Linked DNA regions of Rattus norvegicus. Each later gene encodes a partner of the first gene's protein in a complex. Links are inferred from orthologs where the notes say so. Each region holds a gene or a part of one and is shown in the gene's direction. Other genes may lie near its edges.

Evidence for each region.
Region 2: the proteins of Iffo1 (region 1) and Xrcc4 are in contact, whole or in part, in a crystal structure (PDB 6ABO), measured with the Homo sapiens proteins. The link is inferred for Rattus norvegicus from reciprocal best matches to the Homo sapiens genes IFFO1 and XRCC4. Residues at the interface, in NP_001317253.1 of Homo sapiens: Arg469, Glu470, Tyr473, Ile477, Gln479, Ile480, Glu481, Glu483, Leu484, Ala487, Lys488, Asp490, Met491, Arg493, His494, Leu495, Tyr498, Met501, Lys505, Leu508, Asp509, Met512, Cys515, Arg516, Leu518, Ile519, Thr520, Gln521; in NP_001304941.1 of Homo sapiens: Trp155, Val158, Gln159, Phe162, Glu163, Cys165, Val166, Lys169, Glu170, Glu173, Leu176, Tyr177, Phe180, Val183, Leu184, Lys187, Lys188, Lys190, Ile191, Leu194, His195, Lys197, Leu198, Ala201, Ala202, Arg205, Glu212.

The regions. Positions count from the first base shown.
Region 1 is NC_086022.1:159,644,738-159,648,388, forward strand, and holds part of Iffo1 (non-homologous end joining factor IFFO1), read left to right. Parts: intron 1-959; coding exon 960-1,090; intron 1,091-2,523; coding exon 2,524-2,576; coding exon of another isoform or gene 2,577-2,629; exon of another isoform or gene 2,630-3,070; coding exon 3,071-3,123; 3' UTR 3,124-3,651. UniProt on the Homo sapiens protein: Nuclear matrix protein involved in the immobilization of broken DNA ends and the suppression of chromosome translocation during DNA double-strand breaks (DSBs).
Region 2 is NC_086020.1:22,814,273-22,817,923, reverse strand, and holds part of Xrcc4 (DNA repair protein XRCC4), read left to right. Parts: intron 1-1,844; coding exon 1,845-1,988; intron 1,989-3,061; coding exon 3,062-3,153; intron 3,154-3,651.

The DNA.
Region 1 (3,651 bases):
TTTCCTTTTGTGGGTCTGGGGATTGAAGCCAAGGCCCACTGAGGCAAAACCCTTCACAGCTGCAGCGGCAGGCTTTTTTTTTAGACAGAGTTATGTAGCTCACACTGGCCTCAAACTTGCTTTAGAACAGACTTACCTGCAACTTCTGATTAGTGCTGGGATTACAGATGTGTGTTACTAGGTCCAGCTTACGGGATGCTAGGGATCAAAGTATGGTTCCGTTGCAGGCTAGGCAAGCCCTCTGCCAGCCGAGCTACAGTCTGAGCCTCTGTGTGTGTGTGTGTGTGTGTGTGTGTGTGTGTGTGTGTGTGTGTGTATGCATGTGTGTATGCATGTGTGTGTGCGCGTGTGTGTGCGCGTGTGTGTGCGCGCGTGTATGTGTGAGTGAGTGTGTCTGTACATTTGTGTGTGCGTGTGTGTGTGCGCACGCGTGTATGTGTGTGTGTGTGTGTCTGTACATTTGCGTGTGCGCACAAGTGTGTGTGCACATGCCATGGTGCAGGTGTGGAGGTCAGAGAACAATTTGGAGTTGGTTTTCTCCTTCTTCTATGTGGGTCCCTGGCATCAAATGCAGATTGGCAGATGTGGCAGGTACCTTATCCACTGAGCCCTTTGGCGTGCCCTCCTTCCCCCTTTTTGAGACCAGGTTTAAGATTTACTGTCATGACTCTCCTGCCTCAGCCTGAGTGCTGGAGTGAAGGCTGTGCTCCCCCACCCACCATGCTTTTACAGAGAACTCAGACATCTGGCTGATTCTTGGGTAGCAGTAGGAGTAGATTCCCAGAAAGGCTTGAGTGTGGGGCACCGTCCTGAGCCCTTGCCTCGCCAGAGTGAGGGCCTGAAGTTAGAGCGCCAGTTGCTGCCGCCCCTCCCCCACTTCCATATCCCGGGGAAGCAGGCGATGGAAGCTTGCTTGTTTTCTGAGCTGCTTGGCCCTCCCTGACCCCACCTCACCGCAGCTGGAGCTGGCCACGGCCAAGAGCGACATGAACCGCCACCTGCATGAGTACATGGAGATGTGCAGCATGAAGCGGGGGCTGGACGTGCAGATGGAGACCTGCCGCCGCCTTATCACACAGTCCGGAGACCGGTAAGGGCCGCCCTGAGTGGCGTGGCTGTCTCCCAGGGAAGAAGGCTGGACAGGCCCCAGTGGCCTGTGGGAGTGACCAGGTCACATCTTTATGTCCAGCTGTCCTTGGGAGTCCCTGTAGGTGTGGCCTAGAATGAAGCTTCCTCTCCCTGCCTTGGCCGTCAGATGAAACCGACTAGTGCCCAACTCTGAGGGTCTGAGAGCCCAAACCTGGCAAGGAGCAAAGAAATAGAGGGACAGGATTATCCAAATCCAAATCACAGTTTAGCTGTTTGACCTTGTTTAAGAGTAAATCTGGGGTTTTGGAATATAGCTCAGTGGTAGAGTCCTTGTCTAGCCTGTCTAGCACACACACAGACACACACAGACACACACAGACACACACACACACACACACAGACACACACACACACACACACAGACACACACACACACACTAAGATTTTTTTAGAAATCTCTAAACCAGGCCTAGCGGTACATGTCTGCAGTCTCAGTCTTGGAAGGCGGAGGCAGAAGGATTGTCATGAGTTTTAGGCTGTTCTGGACAGCAGTAAAACCTTGTCCCACACAAACCAAACAGCAACAACAACAAACAAAAATCCAAGGAATGGCAGTTAAGTCAGGCTTATGAGCGCATACCTATCATTCAGATGCACAGAAGCAACGGGCAGGTGAATTGCCACAAGTACTAGACCAGCCTCGCCTCTGTGAGGAGTTCAAGGCCAGGCAGGAATGCAAACTGACTCATCTCAAAGAGAACAAAAAACCCAACCCAACCCGACCCCCCAAATTGCATTGTATGGTGAGCACGCTAACTGGGTTTGTGGCCACCCCAGCCACTTTGAAGGCAAGAGGGGCTGGAGAGATGGCTCAGCGGTTAAGAGCACTGACTGCTCTTCCAGAGGTCCTGAGTTCAATTCCCAGCAACCACATGGTGGCTCACAACCATCTGTAATGGGATCTGATGCCCTCTTCTGGTATGTCTGAAAACAGTTACAGTGTACTCATATAAATAAAATAAATTAAAAAAAAAAAGAAAATCAACTGAAGGCAAGAGGATTGCTTGCACCCAGGAATTTGGGGTCAGCAGTGACAACAGAGTGAAACAGCCCCCTAAACCCCCATACTCCCCCAGTCTCACCTCCTACAGTCCCCACAGCCCCCCGCACACCGAATTATTGCTGGATAAGAAGCTAGGGCCTTAGTGTGGCTCAGGGAACATCTCCATGCTGTGACTTCAGACTTTTCTGATCTCTGAGTCCCAAAGAGCGAAACTGTTCCTCCCATCAAGTTGAAAACAAGTTTTCCTTCCCTCCCCCGTCCTTGCCTGTCATCCCCCTGTACCTCAAAAGATAAGGCCAGAGAAAGCAAGTTTGGAAGTCTCAGGAGCTTTCCTGCTTTGCCCCAAGGTGACAACTGGTATTTCTTTCTAGAAAGTCTCCTGCTTTCACTGCGGTCCCGCTTAGCGACCCGCCGCCGCCGCCAAGCGAGACTGAGGACTCCGATCGAGATGTCTCATCTGACAGCTCCATGAGATAGGAACCAGGGCCTGGTGCCCCAGAGCTCTCTGGGGCAGGGGTGTGGGTCTGCAGAGGACCATCTTCTGTGCCACCGCATGAAGCCTGGCCCTGGCTTGTCCTCTCCAGGGTTCTGGGGTGTCTGGAGCTAGGCTCGGCCCCACCCCCTGTACAACTCCCAACACATTGGGGCACTCCTGCCTTCCTCACATGTGGGTATCTGCTACTTCTCCATCTTTGGAATGCTGCCAGCACACTTGGAGCCTCCCTTTTCCATTTGTAAGGAATGTGGTTATGGGACCTGCCTGTTTTCCTTGGGTTTTGTACTGGTGCTAACTGGCCTAGGCACTCATGTGAAACAGATTCCGCATGTACCTTTGGATAGGACCTTGCTCCCTAGGAAGGCCTTGAGGGCGTGGACACTGCACATGCTCACAGCTAGCTGCCCACCTGCCCACTGCAGTGAACATGGCTGTGCCTTTGGGAAGTCCAGTGCCTGGGCCAGGTCGCCACTGAGATGAAGCTGCTGCCACACTTGGGTGTGGCCTGCACAAGGTTAGGGGTGCTCAGGGTGTCTCCTCAGTGACCAGCTGAGGGAATGCCTCCATGGCTGTCACTGACAAAACCAAAAGGTTACAATGTCCCTGGTCCTAGGGAGCTAGGATCTCCCAGGAGAGGCTATGCAGAGCTGACATTTGAATGGGACCTTTGAAAGCAATGAAGGCGTTGAGTCGAGTCACCGTGTAATGCACCTTCATTTCATTCCCAACCAACAGTGAGCGCTGGCTAGTCACTGCCCCAGAACCAAAGCACCTTCAAGTGCCCACACCTGAAGACAGGTGAACAGCTCAGCAGGGACCTTCCCTCTTCATGGACACAATTAGTCCTACTGTACTGGGCACCCTTCCAACTTTACCTAATTTAACATCTGGAGACTTTGAGAGCTGGGTACAATTAACCTTTGTTTGCAGATAAAGGACACAGATCTTTCTCAAGAGCAGCAAGCTCTGAAAGTCAGTGCTGTTCAAAGACTGCACCTTCTGT
Region 2 (3,651 bases), on another chromosome or scaffold:
ATCTCTGAATCTTTCTGTAGTAAATTGTGATATGCATGAAATTTATTTGTATAAGAATATCTGTATGTATTTAAAACATTTTATTATATACTGAGATAATTTAGTTGTTTATATATTTTCCTCATATTTAAATTTCTTATGTTTGAAAATAAGAGAATGTTCACCTGACAGTTTGCATCTGAAATTATAGAGTAACATACCCTGCACATAACATATATCACAAATATTGGCAGTATCTTGAAATAGGAAGCCTGAACTGAAAGGAAGCAGACATTCCTAAGAGGTCCCACAGACCCTGGTGTGTCTTGTAACCAATGAGATAAAACAAGTCCACCAAGCTCTTTTGCCAGAGTGAAGTGGCTGAAGGAGTATGTATTCCATCCCATGCTCTTTAGGAAATTCTCAGCCCCTAGCACGGACACCGTGCTGCTGAAGAACTCAGATTCGTCTCTCAGCTTGTAGGACCAGTCTCACACACTTGGAATGGCTACTAGAAAAAGGAATCTCCAAGGAGCAGGACTTCAAAGTACATGTCATGTAGCTCTCAATTAACCTAGTGCCAACTGGTTGGCGTCTTGGAAGACAGGCTCAGAGAAACTGAGATACGGTGTTGAAAAAGAAGGGTACTTTTGATGTGTAATAAATCAGCAAATGAAAAAGACTGTACTCATGAGCTCACTTTATTTGTTTATGTCATGAATGTGTACTGAGCATCTCTGCTAGGCACTGAGCACAAAGCACTTGGTAGAACACACGTGTTCTGTGGTCTCATGCAATGCCAGCCTTAGTAAAATCCATGCTAAACGAATGTGCACTAATTGGTTCCAGAACTGCATTGGTACATAGTCCTTTTTACCCTAGAATAACGTCTGTGTGCTTTTATGTAGATGGGTTGTGAGACACATCAAGGGCTGATAGGAACCGTCTCACTTTTTGACATTTTCACTTTTAATTATCTCGCCTTAGTTTACATGTGTATATATGTACATATTTTATTATTAGGACATACATGGGACACATATAAAGTATATTTAGGAACATATAGAATAAGCAGCGCAGTAAAGGTAAAGTTGGGCAGAACTTGACTATAGGAATACTTTCAATGAAATATTTGTGTTTAAATGTGTATAATAATCATTTACTCATGACGTACACAGTAGGTGTATATAGCTTCTGTTAGTTTACATCCTTCCTGTCTGTTGGGACATTAAAGCAAGTGAAATTCGCTTGAGCATTATAACATTCCAGGATGAATTATTAATACTAGAGAATTTTATTCTTCTTTTATATCTCTATGGCTAAAGATATATACTTTTTTCATCATTTCTTTATTATCTTCTTAGAAATATCAGGTGGTATAATTCAATTCATTACATACATTTTTTATTTATGTTCAGATTTGTGCTTAAATATGGTGGGTTATAAAGACACAAATTAGTTATGTTCTTGTGGAACAAGTCATAGTCTGAAGACTGACAACAAATTTTCTTTCATATATGCTCATGGCTGCTGTAATAGTAATATTAATAAATGCACATCATGTAATATAATATACAATGTAAATGACTGAGCTTTTATAAATAAACTACACATGAATTGTTATATTTGAGAATTTAGGTTAGAGAGCTTTATTTCTATCTATTTCAATTATTATTTGTTTTAGAACATAAGTGACAAATATTAATAAATAGCATTTTCTAACTTTTTCACACTCTATTTAAATAAAATGACCTTAATTACATTTGCCTTCAAAAGGCTTCTTGAAATCATGATGTTGGATTGAATAATATTAATGATAGAAAATTTGTATGACTTGCAATTTGTTTACTCCTTTGCATTTTTAGATTTGAGAAATGTGTGAGTGACAAAGAAGCCTTGGAGGCCGATTTGTATCAAAGATTTATCTTGGTGCTGAATGAGAAGAAAACAAAAATCCGAAGCTTGTTGAGTGAAGTCCAGCAGCTGGAGAAGAGTACCAAACCTGAAAGGTAGCAACCGCTTGCCCTTGGCTAAGAGAGGTGTAAATCTCAGGAGAATGTCTTTACAGACTTGCAGCATTAGGTGTCTACTTTTAGTAATGTGCATTTTTTTGGTAGTGGGTTTAGACATTCTAGCTCGGATGAGTATATTCTCCACACAATTTCTCCATGTCATTCCATGGTTTAATTTGAAGTATAGCATATGTCATAGCATATAAAACATATTTGTTTAATTCTGAAAGATTTAACTATTTAATTTATTTATTTAATTTTAGACATTATGAAGTAAGAAATATATCAGTTAACAAAACTTTTCACCTCTTCCAAGGCTGCAAGTTGTTTGTACATCTATAATCTTAGCATCTAAGCAATGTTGGCTTTTGATCCAGCTAGTAAAAGTTAAATCCTGTGGTACATTTACATTGTCTGGTGGAAGTATGTTATTTTTTCCTATTGTTGTCAAGTTGTTATTGATGTTCTCTCCTTCCTTAAAGTGTGTGTACAATTGATTCCTAAGGTGGGGGGAATTATAGGTTACAATTGGTTAGTATAGGTTTGGGTAATTTCACATGTTTTTCGTCATTAACTCATACAGACTAGGTCCTGTTGCCTTGGATCTGAAAAGCATAGGTTTTTCATGACATAGTATGAAGAAAATAACATTGAATTCTAGCTTTTCCTATGTCTGGTACAGAGTCCTACTTGCACGTGGTACTAAACATTGTGCCTCTGTTCCTCGTTTGGGGGGCAATTTAATCAAGTGCAGAACTGCTGTCAAGTCATTACAATGCTGAGCACTGCCCCTTAGGTAACTAGGTGGACTAGTGTTTAAATAAATGAATAAAACATGATAAACTAATTCAGTAATTAATAGGGACCTTTAACCACCATTCCGTTTACTAAGATAACACTTCTCTTTTAAGAGACTTAGTCTTTCATTGATTTCATCTAAATTGCATAATTTACTTTGTCTGAGCAGAACTTTTTTTCTAGGAATGTTTTTCTGTATTTTCTTATTGGTTAAGTAGATCGTTAGCCAGAATCAATCGATAATTTCCAGTTCCGCCTTTCTCTCTTTCCAGGGAAACTCCGAGTTCTGACAAAATACCTGAGGAGGATGGGCTTTATGATGGCAGCACTGATGAAGAAAGCGGAGCCCCTGTGCTGGGCGCAGGTAAGAGGGCCGGACCCCCTAAGGGTTCCTATGTCATAAGACACCAAATTGAAAAAATATATGAGAAAAGGTTTCCATAAAATTGATCAAAAATTTTACCCTAAAACTTTAAGAACATTACATTAAAATGTACAGTAGACTGTAGCAGTTATAACAGCAAGGCACACAAGCAAGCATATATCCGTTCACTAGGAATGTACCTTGGCTGTTACATGGCACTCATGAACAAGAAGGCAGATGCATCTTATGTTAGTATCACCAGCTCAGAACTGCAGGGCTTTCGTATCAGACATCTCATGGAGCTGGGTCAATAGATGGAACAGGATGAGGCCTAATCTTCTTTTGTTCTTCAGAAAAGAGCTTGCTACAGAGTAAAAGGGGACAGGGATAACAGATGTGTAGTTGTACCATTTTTCAGGCATTTTTTATCTTACTGTTCTTTTGCTAGTACATTATGGTTTCAGATTTTGTGTTTTTATTGGTTTCATTTGTGTTTGT